Linked DNA regions of Coturnix japonica. The protein of the gene in region 2 purifies or fractionates together with the protein of the main gene of each other region. This does not show direct contact. Links are inferred from orthologs where the notes say so. Each region holds a gene or a part of one and is shown on either strand. Other genes may lie near its edges.

Region 1 (4,892 bases), on a different chromosome or scaffold from region 2:
CTAAGAGCTACTGATGCGTACTGCTGGGACTCTGTAACTTTCAGAGAATTTCAGGACCTTAAAAGTCTTCTCAAACCTTATAATTTAGGTAGATTATCTGATTAGGTTTGAGGTTACCTTAATGTATATTGTTGTATAGAATGGGCGAGCTGTACTCTTCCCAAATGGCATTTGAGTAATGACTTTGGAAAGGGAGGTGTTGAAATGGCTTTAACCCTAGGCAAATATTCAAAGTGTGATAATAACAAATAATAAACAAAAACTTCCTGTGATTAACTGCAGATAGGGCAAAAACTTCGTAATCCAGCAGAATAAGGTAAATGATCAGAAGATTTTTGACCTTCCTGGTCTTTATTTGAAGGTCTGGCAGTAGCCGAGCCAGGTAGCTGATTTCTTCTTTTTAAACCATTTCTTTGCAATTATTATTCCTCAGAAATGCTTATCTGAGATGCAGATGTTAAGCATCAGTGGGCAAAACTGTGCTGTAATCTTCTGATTTCTCCTTATCTCAAGTCTGCTGTAGGTAATAAGGGACGTGAAGAAGCTGCTCGTTAAGTTCTGTGAAAGACCATCGGAGTCACACTTTGAAAGCTAAAGCTCCTTCCTCTTGTCCATGCAAAACTCATCTTGAATGAACTTTTTGAGGACTATAAAGATAGGAATTCGTAGATGGAGATGAGGTTTGCAATTAAATGAACAGAACTGCCTCAGTCTTTCAGATCCGCGTACCTTATTGTTACAGTGTTCCATCTGCCTTCTGTGTAGAACAATGAAGGCATTTAATCAGCTGAGCTGACACCATCAGTTCTGCAGATAAGATGGGTAGTTATCTTTTACCTCTGAGTGACCTGAAAATCAGTGCTTTGTTTGAGCTGCAAGCAAGAAGTCCTAAACAAGAAAGTTTTCCTTCTGGGCTTCAAGAGATAGTGGTTTTCTTTTTAAAACTTAAGCTTAAATATAGTTATGATCATCTTCTAGAAAATGCCTTGCAAAACTGCTTTGGGATCCTTGTAATTCTTTCTGTAAATCATAAGGCTACCTTATTCCATCGCAACATCAGAAACTAAGCGTGCAATTAGTCTTATACTAATGTCACATTCCTTACGTTCAGCTGCAGGATTAAGCACAAGAAGCTTTTACGTTACCTTTGGGAATATTCCGTTCTTTAATGTGAGATCAGCACACTCTATGCTCATGAAGAAAGGTAATGACTTAAACTCCTTTTGTTTGGCCGTGATGATTTTTTCAGAGGGGGAGGGAGAAGGTCCTTCAAGCTGTCCCAGCTGCAACTATTTGCATTTTGTGGCATATTAAATGTTTTTCATCCCAATCAGCACATCTTAAAGGATGCAAAGAGGATGTTTACTGTTAGCACTGCACCTGGCTGTTTGGGGATTGATATTGCATTCAAATAATCTAATTTAAGCATTAGGGAATGTAACCTGAGGGGAAAGCTGTAAGTGGGCTTTTAATGAAGCTTGAAGACTATACCTGAAAGAAAGCTCTGACCCTCATCTATTTATATAAAGATTTAGAGGCAGCATCTTGGATTTCTGTCTCTTTCTACATAATTTCATAATCTGGGTATGTTGGATTTCAGGTGTGGTATCACAGAGCCTCTGATAAGAAACTAATTTCCTAAATGGCTTATCTAGGAGGTGCTGTTCTATTTGTTTTCTTAGGCTTTTTAATATGATGTGATCAGTGTTGTTTGTGATTCTGTAGGTCTAGCCTTAATGGAAGCAAGGAAAATAGTTTCCCATATTCACATCTTAAAGCCAACTGGAGCAGTGCTATAGAGAACTGTATTAGCAATATGCTGTTCTAACTCAACAGTAATGCTTGTTTGGGGTGAGACTGATGAGTATCAGCTCTTAATAGGATAACAGCTGCACCAGAAGTCATGTTCCTTCAGCCCCCATCCCCCTTTATTCCTTCGCCCCGCGCTGAGGGAGCCGCCGCTGTCAGGCGCTCTCCGGGGCAGCCTCTCCTCGAGGTCCTTCCTGAGCGGCGTCGCTCTCGCCCTGCGCCGCGCGGCTCCCACGTGTGTTGGGGGCAGCTCCGCGGGCGCTGCTTGTGGAACCGGCGGTTTCGGCCGGGACACGGAGTGAGGGGAGAAGGGCCGAGAGCTCGGACGGCAACATGCAGCGCCGCAAGGTGGACAACCGCATCCGGGTGCTGATCGAGAACGGGGTGGCCGAGCGGCAGAGGGGCCTCTTCGTGGTGGTAGGTGACCGCGGCAAGGACCAGGTGAGCAATGAGCAGGGACGCCTCCGCTTGATGAGGTGCTCACAGCACTTCTATCCTGGCCTTTGGTGTCCGGAAAGCAAATGGGATCCTGGGGCTCCATCAGGAGAGGGGTGGTCAGCAGGGATAGGGAGCTGATTGTCCCTCTCTACTCTGCTCTTGTGAGGCCCCATCTGGAGTACTGTGTCCAGGTGTGGAGCCCTCAGTACAAAAAAGACATGGAGATTTTGGAAAGGGTCCAGAGGAGGGCCACAAAGATGATCAGGGGGATGGAGCACCTCCCCTATGAGGACAGGCTGAGGGAGTTGGGTTTGTTCAGCCTGGAGAAGAGAAGGTTGCGGGGTGACCTCATTGCAGCCTTTCAGTACCTGAAGGGAACTTACTGCCAGGAGGGGAGTAAACTCTAAAGGGCTGACAATAACAGGACTAGGGGAAATGGTTTTAAGTTAAAAGAGGGAAGATTTAGGTTGGATGTTAGGGGGAAGTTCTTCACTAGGAGAGTGGTTAGGCCCTGGAACAGGCTGCCCAGGGAGGTTGTGGATGCCCCGTCTTTGGAGGTGTTCAAGACCAGGTTGGATGGGGCCCTGGGCAACCTGATCTAGTAAATGTGTATGTTTGGTGGCCCTGCCAGGCAGGGGGGTTGGAACTACATGATCCTTGAGGTCCCTTCCAACCCGGGTCATTCTGTGTGATTCTGTGTGATGAGGTGCTCAGAGCACATCCATCCTGGCCTTTGGTGTCTACAGGGATGGGGCATCTGCTGTCTCTCTGGGCAACCTGTGCCAGCGCCTCACCGCCCTTACTATAAACATATTCTTCCTTTCATCCACTCTGTTAATTTGAAACCATTTGCCCTTGTCTTGTCTCAGCAGACCCTGCTGAAATGTATGTTGCTCCTTGTTAGCTTATGAATACAATCATGCGTTGATATTTCTGTGTCTTGGCAGGTGGTTATACTGCACCACATGTTGTCCAAAGCAACTGTCAAGGCCAGGCCGTCCGTCCTGTGGTGTTACAAGAAGGAGCTGGGCTTTAGCAGGTAAAGGGGCCTTTTGCATCTCGTGTTGCAGTAGTACTCTGTGTGAAGGGGAAGCTGTGTGGCTGCTCTGCATAGTACGGGCTGATTTGATTATCAGGAGAAACAAGTCTTATTTTTGCAGCAGATACAGGATGCTCAGTTTTCCAGAGCTAAGATTTGGCTTCACTGGTATGGTTGGCATCAGTGCTACGTACTTCTGGTTTCCTTATGTAGTTTCAACACTAACCCTGTTGTCCTGAGCCAATTTCTCCCTCACCTTTCTAATCTCAAACAGCCAAAACTTCAGTGCCTCAGTAGTATGTACAGCTGGGTACAGATGAGGCATTACAGTTGCTTTCATTTCAAAAAGGGGTTTAAAACGTTAGTTCTTAGATTTGCGATCATACTTGAAGTCCAGGCACAAAACTGGGAAGGGTTACTTGAAACTGTGTGATTCCAACCAGATGATTTCTTCCAAAAACAGCTGGTTCAGTGTTGTTTGTGCTGCTCTGGGCCAAAGGCACTGGGGAACATACCCTGAGTACAGTGTTTGTAATGCAAGACTTTTCCTTGGAGCCCGAGCTCTGAATTCCATTTAGACTTGAAACTAGGAATGAGAGCAGAGTCTTCTCAAACCATTTCCCAGAAAAACTTACATGGAGTTTTATTCTCCAGCCACCGGAAGAAGAGAATGAGGCAACTGCAGAAGAAGATTAAAAGTGGAACCTTGAACATAAAAGATGATGATCCTTTCGAATTGTTTATAGCAGCCACAAACATTCGCTACTGCTATTACAATGAAACTCATAAGATCCTTGGTAACACTTTTGGCATGTGTGTGCTTCAGGTAAGGAATTCAGCTTTTTACGTAAAGGATGTTGCACTAGTATTGATTGCTTTGAGTTGAACAGCTGCAGTAATTCTATTTGTTGCTTCTGTTACTTAAGTTTTGATGGCCTTACTTATGAGTTTTGTGGGGGGTCACAGCCTTAGAATTGTAATGGAAAGTTGGTTAATGCAAATGTTAAGTTTAATTCAAACTCTGATAAATGTTTATAGTTCTTCTCTTCTTTTTAGTAGCTGCTATTGCACTTGAGAATTCTAGGCAACTTTAAGGTTTATTTTTTCATTTCCAAGGATTTTGAAGCCTTGACTCCAAACCTGCTGGCTAGAACTGTAGAAACAGTGGAAGGGGGTGGAATTGTAGTAATTCTGCTGAGAACAATGAACTCACTGAAGCAGCTCTATACAATGACCATGGTAAGTTCAATGCAATATGTCTGTTTTACATAGGCAGGTACATTTGGTGATGTTAAGTGCTTAGTTTTTGCTTTTGTTATGGGTTGGAGTCTTCTTTCCATTACTTCTGCTGCTGGTTCTTTCATTTAACCTGGAGTGAGGTTTGTGTTTGTGCAGTTACACCATTCCTTGTGCTGCCAACAAACATAGCTGTGTTTTCTGGCCCAGTGCTAAGTCACCCAGAGCTTCACCATTCCCATGTTTATAATGCCAGTAGGTGAATTAAAGCATTAAATTATTTCTACTTAGCATCTCTGTGCTGCTTTAAATGTTCTGTATGTAGTAGATGTGGCCTTTAAATCAGACAAGAATACGTAAGACTGCACTG
Region 2 (4,567 bases):
CTGTCTGTCTCTATAGATACAGCACAACTGATATAATCCATCTGGAGTAACACAATTGAGCAAATATACTGATAGATCATCTTAACCACAAATTTACTATTCTTAAAGCAAAAAGCATAATTGTTAGTGCAGCTAATGTGTAAACTAACTTCTGCTTCAGGATGAGCTGAGTAGTTCCAAAACCAAGCTCTATCTCCTAACCTGAATTCAAATGAACCATGTCAAAAATGGCCAGTAGGAAAGAGACCTATAAAAGCCCCAGTAAAAGCAAATGCACAATCTCTCACATATCAAATCTGTCCAAGCAAGAGGAAGAAAGAATATAAAACTGCAAAAGGAAGTGACATTTTCATACCTGTATACAGCTACCCTACAATTCAAGTACTGTACGTCTATGGAAAACAGTAACCCATGTTTGCTTGCTTATGCTGTTGATTATATTAATAATAATAAAATCATCAATTCAGGTCTCTTAAACAGTCACTACAACTGTTGCAGATGCCTCTAACTTACTTCTACAGCTATTAGTAGAGGAAAGCAAAATAAATGCGTACAGATTCAAAGAACTATTAACAAGCTCATATACAACTGCTTTCTTCTAGACAAGCAAGCATGCACCTAAAAATAAATTGTAACATCACCTGCAATATAGCAAAGAAGAAAATTCAAATCATATCTGTTTACTGACATGCCATTAATATAAACTTACATCCATCTCTGGACTTTTCTATTTGCTCTCGAAGAAATCTATCTTTGTGGAGATTAACATCGCCAAACCAGAAATCCACCTGTTTAGCTATGTCTGCAAGCACCTGCTTCACCCTTGACCTCTTCTTTTTCTCCCTCTCTTTCTTCTGTTCAGTGCTTTCCTCTTCCATGGCTTTGTCTCTTGCAGCTTCAGTCTCCATTCCCGTCATTCTGCCAATCAAAAGTTAAATATAACATTTAAGAAAATCAAAGTACTGTTACAGTATGGAACAAACACTGTAATCCCATACAGTTATTTTCAGAAACTTTATCACATGAAAAGGAGCTTAACTTTACGCATGCCCTACAAAAACATGTACCATTCAGTACTGAGTAATGTTGAAAAATATTAAGTACAGAGAAGGCTATGCTGAAACCTAAGTCTCACAGCTCCTTGCAATGCCCTCCAGCCATAGCAATTCACTGCAGACAGGTTGGTACCAAACCACAGGCTTTCCATTGAAAATCTGTGCTACCGTGTTAATCCAGAAAGCTTCACGAGCAGCCTGCTCTCCCCATTAAGATTACTAAGGAAACATGCACTGTCAGAAAAGCAAGGCTATTAACTAATGTTACTGAATTACTAGAAGTACTTGTGGAGGTAATTAAGCATCCTTCAATAAGTCAAATTCCTCGTTAGCAGAGAAGGAAACAACCTGTTAAAGGGAGTTCACAAAACCCATCTTCAAGTAGATCTTTGCCCTCCTAAAAATAAATATAAATATCCAATAAATCTCACTGGAATAGGCTCCCCAGGGAGGTGGTTGAATCGCCATCCCTGGATGTGTTTAAGAACCGTTTGGATGTGGTGCTCAGGGATATGATTTAGCAGAGGGTAGTTAGAATTAGGGTAATATAGCTGGGATGTGGTTGAATTTGATGATCTTTGAGGTCAAAACTTCTAGGTACATCAATTCAGGTTTTTTTTTTGTCTGGTGTTTCAGCTCACTGGAGGTATACAGTCATCCTAGAAGAAAATGCCAGTCACCACAGCGCTTTACTCAAGCCAAACAAAGCAATACCGGCAAAAGCAGACAGCTTTTAGAAATAAAATTAACACAAAAAATAAAGCGATTAATATGGAAATCATCATTTGAAAGACTCCTCAGCTCGTAAGGAAGCACAAGTACAGCCATCAGCGAGGAAGCTGACATCTGCAACAGGGCAACAATGGAAATAGTCTTCAAATTATTGTGCAAATGTGGCTCCTCAGCCGGGGATCAGTTTCTCTCCCCGCTGTGAGCTGACCACTCAGAACAGCGAAAGGGCAATTATCTTGGAGAGATAAACCAGGTAGAACTCTCCCAACTGAAGTTCAAGCTACATTCGAGCCCTTCAGCAACTTACATTAATTACTAGCACACCGCTTAGCTGAAAGCTACAGTGAGTTCCACCATTACAGGACACTTTCTTTAGTTGAACAGTATTTTATGACCCCGCTAACACATAACGAATATGACTTATGAACGGCAAAGCTTTATTTTAAAAACCCATCTAAAGCATTTCATGTATTTCTAGTCACTCAGGAAACACCAACAGGCACAAGCTGTAATCTGTTCTGTTTTGCTCCTCCTCCTCTCCCATACCCACTTTTAGGCGCTGCTTTAGTGCTCTGTGATATCGAGCATTGATATCAAAGCTCGCTTGCTTACTGTAAGCACTTAAATATGAAGATAGGAGAAGGAGGGATCATATGAAACCTTATGCTATGTTTCCATACAGTAAATGACAATAATTTCTCTTCTGGACAAAACAAACGTTAAGTTTTTTTGTCTTGTGGATAAAATTCAGCACACCTCTGCTTTCAGAGATGTACATTGCAGACTGCCTTGGGCATTCTTTGCTTGGCATAAAGGAAGAGCTGTACCTCTTTTAACTCATTTCTTACCACAGAATCACCCGGGCTGGAAGGGACCTCAAGGATCATGTAGTTTCAACCCCCCTGCCTGGCAGGGCCACCAAACATACACATTTACTAGATCAGGTTGCCCAGGGCCCCGTCCCAACTGGCTCTGAACACCTCCAAGGACGGGGCACTTGTTACACTCCTCCCCTCGCACCCCGTTCCTGCGTGACCAGGGCAGCTCTTTTCAGCCGTTATAGCACTCAGCAGCCCTATTTCCAGGGCGGTGCAGCCGCCTATGCTCCAACTACGGCTCTCTCTTAAGGACGAGCGGCGCCCGCGCTGAGGTGATGCCCACAACCGCCACCCTTACACGCGCCCCCCACCCACAGCACGGCGGCACCGCCCCCTTTTCACTTGCCCCCGCCCCCAATGGTGACCCCCGCCTCTCCCTACTGACCTGTCGCGGGGCGGCGTCACCTCGTGTACCCCGTGTACCCCGTGCCACCCCCCGCCTCTCTCACAGCCGCCCTGTTCTCCGTGCCCTGCCCGACAGCCGTCACGACGGGCGGCCCCGGCGGAGAGCAAAGCACCGCCCGGTGGCGGACGGCGCGCATGACGCCGGGAAGTGTTTGGAGAGGCCGCGCCTGGCGAGGAGCACGTGATTTCTCTCGGCGCCGTCGTTGCGTGGTGACGTCACGCGCTGTGGCGGGAAGTTCGGAGCGCGGCGGGACGGGTCGGGCCGCTCAAGGTGTGTGTGTGTGTGTGTGGGGGGAGCTTGAGCTGTGGGCCGCCTTCGGGCCGTGTGTGGGGGTACGTAACGCGCTGGGTCACGCGTGTGCGTGGGTCTCTCGGCCTTATATCGCTGCTTGTGGGGCTGACGGAGCGCTTGCCCATCTCCTTAGGGCGGTGTTGCTGTGCTGTCACTGTCAGCACGTCGGGGCGCAGCTGTGGGGGCGGACTGCCTGTCAGTTGAGCACGCATGGCCGGCCCGCCGGCTGGGAGCCGGTGAAGCGGTGACAACGTTCTTCTGTTAACGGTTTCTGGCTTTAATAAACAGTGTTTTATGCTGAGCCTTCTTCTGTTCTAGGAGAGTGGTTAGGTCCTGGAAAGGTGCCCAGGGAGTTGTGGCATGCCCCCCTTGGAGTTTTCAAGGCCAGCTTGGACGGGCCTGGGCAACCTGATCTAGTAAATGTGCTATGTTTGGTGGGCCACTGCCAGCAGGGGGTTGGAACTGACACTGATCCCTTGAGGTCCTTTCCAACCCGATCATTGTGTGATTCTGTGTGTTCCTCAGGTTGCGTGAAGTCTTTGTGCAATAAGCTGCTGAAGGGCCGTTCTGCTTATGAAATGTGAAGTTGACTTCTGAGTAGAATTAAGCCAAGGCAATGGCTTCTCAAGAATTTACTGTAAGTTTTTTAACGCTACGCCACTAAATATAAAATCAATGAAACGACACTGATGTGTTATTTAAAATGTTTTTCTTTACGTTTATGGTTGTTTCAACGTTTTGCCCTTTGAAACCAGGTGTTGTACACTCACCAGAAAATGAAAAAATCCAAAACGTGGCAAGATGGAGTTCTGAGGATTAGACCTGGAGAAAATAAGGTGAGTGTCTTTACATTGAAATCATCTGCTAGGCAATCAGTGGCCATTTCAACCACCTGTAAAGCAAAATTGGTTTTTTTTTGTGTGGTTTTTTTTTCTTCAATTCCATTTATTTTTCTTTGCAGGCGATCTTGTTTGATGAGAAAGGACAATATTTGGAGAGTATGTTTATAAAATCCCAGGTATCTTTTATTTGGAGCTTGATTTTTATGCTTATTATTGTGGTTTGCATTTCAAAGTCCAGCTTGTTTTCCGTTATTAACTACTTCTACAATGGTTGTGATGTGTTGGATATAAGACAGCACATTTATAGTAATTTTACATTTGAGTATATACAATATTTAGAAGCTCTGTAGTTTCTTAAGTAGC
Region 3 (4,909 bases), on a different chromosome or scaffold from region 2:
GGCTACAGGAGAGGCAAAGAGGAACAGTCAGCAAGGGATTTAGTTCCTCCTGACCTCCATCCATCCTCACTCACTAGGTGAAACCTCACGGCAGAGGAACATCAAAACAGGGACTCCAGATGCCTCAAGAGCCTTCAAAAAGAGGTATTAAAACAGCAAAACAAGCAACAGTGGATGAGGATCAGAGTGGTAGTGAACATCATGAGAAAGGCAAAGCAAGAGCAAAAAAGTCTTTGAAAGCTTCATTTGTGTGTTGTGCTGCGTGTATTAACAGCTGTGGGGTTTTGTGCCTACAAACTGCAGCCCGTGGGTGCACACACACAGCTGACAGCCGAGCACAATCATTGCATCAGCATTAGAGGAGGAACAGGCAAAGACAGACTCACAGGAATACAGCAAATATTTCTAAAGCAACATCAGAAAGTGAAGTTTACTGCAACCTCAAATGGTGTCTATGAGAACAGACTGATGCAGATCAATATGATTTAAAACCCCAACTTCAATTGCAATTTATGGTCAATGACAGGAAACCTCAAATGAAGCAATCAATTTCAATCTTGCTCCTAGAGCACACGTGCAAAACACCAAAACAAAAGGCTGATTTTGATCAGCTGTGCACAGCAAAACCTGCTGATCAGCAGCAAGAACCAGAAAATGTGGGCTAAGCTCAGCCTGCACAGTAAATGCAGCCTGGAGGATGCTTTCTAGATTGCACATGACAGTGGTGCCGTCCTCACAACCCCTCTTCCAACATAAAAAGAGAAAAGCTTAAAGTCTGAGAACAGTCAATGAAATGTTTCTGTTTTTCACTTGAATCTGAGGTCAAGGTAGAAAAGTAGAATTTAAACAAGACCCAAACAATCTGACACAGCTACAAAAATATTGACCTGAGACGTGCCAGCAGCATGCAGTCATCACAGCTGGTTTAATCAATCCAAGAATTAAACATTAACTCAGTGTTTTTCCTCCTACCTACTGGTTCAAAAACCGACAGTTACCTACATTCTATGGAGCAACACCAAGTTCCCAGACCTAGGCCTGAGATTCCTACCAGTTGAGTGTAAAAAACAGCAGCAGAAAGGTGCTATTATCAATTGTATTTAACCAAAAAGAACTGACTACAGCATGGCAGGCTTTAATATCATCTGTCGCTTTCCAAACCTCTTTTGCAGTACAAATCCATATAAGAGAAGGATATATAAAAATGAGGAAATGCTTTAAAATGATTTCCCTGGAAACTGAGCCTGGCCAGGTGCATTAAGCACATCAGTCACACAGCAGAGACGTGCTGCCTCCCCCAGGGACTGCCTGCAGCGATGAGATGGAACAGCAGCTCAGCACAGAGCAACTGAATTGCTCACTGTGAAGTGGCAGCACTTCCAATCCAGCCCTCAAAGCCTGGGGGGTTCTGTCATGCACAGGAGAGGCTGAGCAAGTCTCCAGCTGGAGCTGTCACCAGCACAAAGCTCCACGAGCTGCAGAAACACGGCTCCTGCTCCCAATGGCATCAGCATCATAAAGCTGCAAAACCACCACCAGGCAGAAAACGTTCTGTTTCACATTCTCTCCTGCTGCAGGTTCATTTAAAGCCATTCAGCCAGCACACAGACAGCAGTCACTGAGACAGCACAGGCATGTGCCAGCAGCACTGACAACAGCTTTTTCCAGCCAAGCTGCAGCACAGTAGCACTCATTCAAAATGAGTTTCCACAGATGAGCGTGTGGTCACCCCAGATTAAACACATGCTCAGCTGGAGGATCCACCCCCAGTGCAACACAGCAGCCTGCTGAGCCAAGAACAAAGGCTGAAAACAGACACCCCCTCAGCACAGCACAAATGAGACCCCGGCAGCTACCTTTGGTCCTACAGATTTCTATGAGGTTCACCACATTCTCATGCTTCAGCAGCTGGAGGATTTTAATCTCTCGCAGAGCTGTGATGGGGAACTGGAAAGGAGAAGACACAGGTTAGGAGTGCAGCTCACATCTGCTTATAGAACAGGAGAGATTGGACTGCTGCAGCACAGGACACCTGCTTGAGTAGCACTGCAACAGCTCATTTAAGAGTAATTGAAACTACAAAACATTACAGGGGCGACAAAACTCATTGGCCACCCTTAGGATTCTGCCACAAGGTGGAGGTGTTTGTGTGACATGGACACCTGCCCTCCTTTCCCATCTATGAGCACAGCACATGGCAAAGCCCCAATTGACCCACAGCACAACCACCCCACCCCCATGTGCTGTGTGCTGTTACTCAAGACCTGGCACGTTACAGCAGTAAACACCATTAAAGTTAATACACACTGATGTTCCATAGCCCACCCCCCACCCCATCCCCTCCATAGCACAGCACAGCTCACACCTACCCCCTCCTTCTCGTTCTCCATCAGCACCTTCTTCAGCGCCACCTTTTTCCCCGTCTGCCGGTGTTTGGCTTTGAACACCTCCCTGTAACAACAAGAAGAGACCCATGTAACAACAAGGACCCATATAACAACACGGAGAGACCCACGTAACAACAAGGACCCACGTAACAACAACAAGGACCCATATAACAACACGGAGAGACCCATGTAACAACAACAAGGCCCCATGAGCCCCATAAGGAGGAGGCCGAGGCCCGCAGCCCCCACAGCACAAAGGCCCCGGGTCAGGCCGCGGCCTGTTCCCCATGACGCTGAATAACAGCAGATAATCGGCCCCATAGGAGCCATGCCCGGGCTGGGAGCAGAGCCGAGGCCCGCAGCGCTCACCCGAACGTGCCCTGCCCGATCTTGGCGAGCTTCTCGTACTTGGACACCTCATCGCAGAACGGGCACTCCACCATGTCGTACTGCTTGGCCATGCCGGCCGACGGCTTCACTTCCGCCCTCTCGCCTTACGCTATTTCCGGCGCGCCGGCGCGCTGCCTGCTGGGATTTGTAGTCCACCTTAGGCCGCCATGTTGTCACCCCGGATAAACCCGTATCACCCTGCGGCTTTATGGCTGTCTATAGCTGTGTGCCCGCGTTCCCTCCCTCACAGTGTCACCCACATAGGAAGGGCCGTGGCCATACAGGGACACTCCATAGGACAAGGCCCTGGGGCTGCCCACCAGCTCTGGGCCACTGCATCCCCCATAGAAATGACCCCACAGACAACACAGCTCCACCAGCACATGGTGCAGTGGGGCCTTGGGGCTCCACCATGGAGCTGAGCCCCATATGGGGACCTCCAGCCATGGAGCTGCCAGCCTGCCCCATGCCGGCACCCAGCCATTCAAGGGCGGCCCTAAAGCACATTAATCCCATTAATGGCACCTGAGCAGCCAGGAGGGGACTGTAGGGACAACAAGGGATGGGACTGCAAGGATCACAAGGGATGGGAGCACAGGGACAGCAAGGGATGGGACTGCAGGGACAATATGGGATGGGAGTGCAGGGATCACAAGGGATGGGAGTGCAGGGACAACAGGGGATGGGACTGAAGGGACAATAAGGGATGGGAGCACAGGGACAATAAGGGATGGGACCGCAGGGGATAGCGGGGACAGCAGCTGCCATAAGAGCAGATGGCAGCAGCGAGGAGGAAGCGCTGAGTGATTGAGAGAGCAAAGCGAGAGGCGGAGGGGGGACAGGAAGGGAGGAGCAGGCAGGGACAGGCTTCAAGTTTATAAACTTGTCCCTGCAGCCTCCACCCAGCACAGCCATGGCTGAGGGCCAGAAACGAGGGGGCTTCAAGAAATTCAGTAAGTCGTATCGGGATGGAGGGGGTGGGTGCTGGGTGCTCACCTGGGCTGGCGTGGGTGGGAAGGGGGTGTGTGAGTGTGAGCGTGGTCACCTCTCATTAGCAAGAAGTCTTCAGTTTTGTTAGGAAACTGGGGGCTCTGGGGGCTTCCATCCCCACAGCTGGAGCAAACCCTGGTGCTGATGGCTCTGGTGCTGGGGTTGGACTGGGAGCAGTCTGCTTGCACTGGTTGCCAGCATGTGACAGGGGTGAACCATTGCTCTGATCCCCCAAATCACAGCTTTCAGGGAGCATTTACCCCTCTGCATGGCTGGGGCTGGTGGTGTCCAGGAGCCCTCTGTGTGCTCCTGCAGCAGAGGGATGGGGTGGATGCTGGGGATAAATCTGCACTGATGGAGCCGCGCTCGGGACCGAAGCGGTGGGAGCTGAGCACAGAGGAAGTGCTGCTGCCCACCAGGAGGGAGCTGAGCTCTTTCTCACAGCCCTCGGGTTTTCCCCAAAGCCCTCGGAGGAGGCTCCATGGGGCTGCACGCCGCCAGCGCTGCACTGAGCAGGACATTGCCTTCACTGCTGCTCCCCGCATTCCTCTGCCTCCATCATGCTGATGCCGGCGCCGGAGGGAGGCCGACCCCTGAGCTCCCCCGGGAGCTGAGCAAAACCCATCTCCCACGGCCCCGGCCAAGCTGGGATTTTCCATTGTGGTGGAATGCGGGGGAAATGGGGAAGGCCCCCAGCTTTCCCACCCTGCAGCAGCCTCAGATGCAGAGGATGCTCGGATGCAGAGGGGATGTTTAACCTGAAGCAGTTTTGTCATTAACAGAGTCCAGGTCATGAGGTTTTGGCTATGCAGGAGTGCTTCTGGGTTTCTGCAGCCCCATTTGGCAGCAGGGGCACCCTGCAGACTGTGCAGGACATGGGCCCTCAGCACCCAGGCTCCTAGCAAGGTACTGCTGCAGCATTCAGCTTCCTGCCCCAGCAAATCTGGAGGGGAAGAGGCTTTGCACAGAGCCCTGCTGTGTAAGCATTGCAAAACCCCGGGGGCACTCAGAGCACCAGGCCTCCAGCTGAGCAGTGCTGCTGTGCCCCATGTGCTGACACTGGGGTAGCACCACGGCAGCACACAGTGCCAAGGTGTGAAACACAGAGCTTCCCATCAGGGTTATAAATACTCCTGCAGTGA

The links. Proteins that work in one complex are often made in the same cells at the same time.
Region 1: the proteins of LARP7 (region 2) and NAT10 purify together in Homo sapiens (affinity purification with mass spectrometry; 3 studies listed by BioGRID and IntAct, with this or other methods). This does not show direct contact. The link is inferred for Coturnix japonica from reciprocal best matches to the Homo sapiens genes LARP7 and NAT10.
Region 3: the proteins of LARP7 (region 2) and CDK9 purify together in Homo sapiens (affinity purification with mass spectrometry; 15 studies listed by BioGRID and IntAct, counting the BioPlex papers as one, with this or other methods). This does not show direct contact. The link is inferred for Coturnix japonica from reciprocal best matches to the Homo sapiens genes LARP7 and CDK9.

What each region holds. Positions count from the first base shown.
Region 1 is NC_029520.1:6,324,051-6,328,942, reverse strand, and holds the start of NAT10 (RNA cytidine acetyltransferase), read left to right. Parts: upstream 1-2,001; 5' UTR 2,002-2,142; coding exon 2,143-2,250; intron 2,251-3,194; coding exon 3,195-3,286; intron 3,287-3,940; coding exon 3,941-4,112; intron 4,113-4,402; coding exon 4,403-4,525; intron 4,526-4,892. UniProt on the Homo sapiens protein: RNA cytidine acetyltransferase that catalyzes the formation of N(4)-acetylcytidine (ac4C) modification on mRNAs, 18S rRNA and tRNAs.
Region 2 is NC_029519.1:51,170,720-51,175,286, forward strand, and holds the start of LARP7 (la-related protein 7), read right to left. Parts: upstream 3,144-4,567; 5' UTR 3,051-3,143; intron 919-3,050; 5' UTR 918-918; coding exon 710-917; intron 1-709. UniProt on the Homo sapiens protein: RNA-binding protein that specifically binds distinct small nuclear RNA (snRNAs) and regulates their processing and function.
Region 3 is NC_029532.1:3,652,220-3,657,128, forward strand, and holds the start of CDK9 (cyclin-dependent kinase 9), read right to left. Parts: upstream 2,892-4,909; 5' UTR 2,849-2,891; coding exon 2,757-2,848; intron 2,452-2,756; coding exon 2,370-2,451; intron 1,948-2,369; coding exon 1,857-1,947; intron 3-1,856; coding exon 1-2. Other genes in the region: SH2D3C (SH2 domain-containing protein 3C), read left to right, coding at 3,691-3,730. UniProt on the Homo sapiens protein: Protein kinase involved in the regulation of transcription.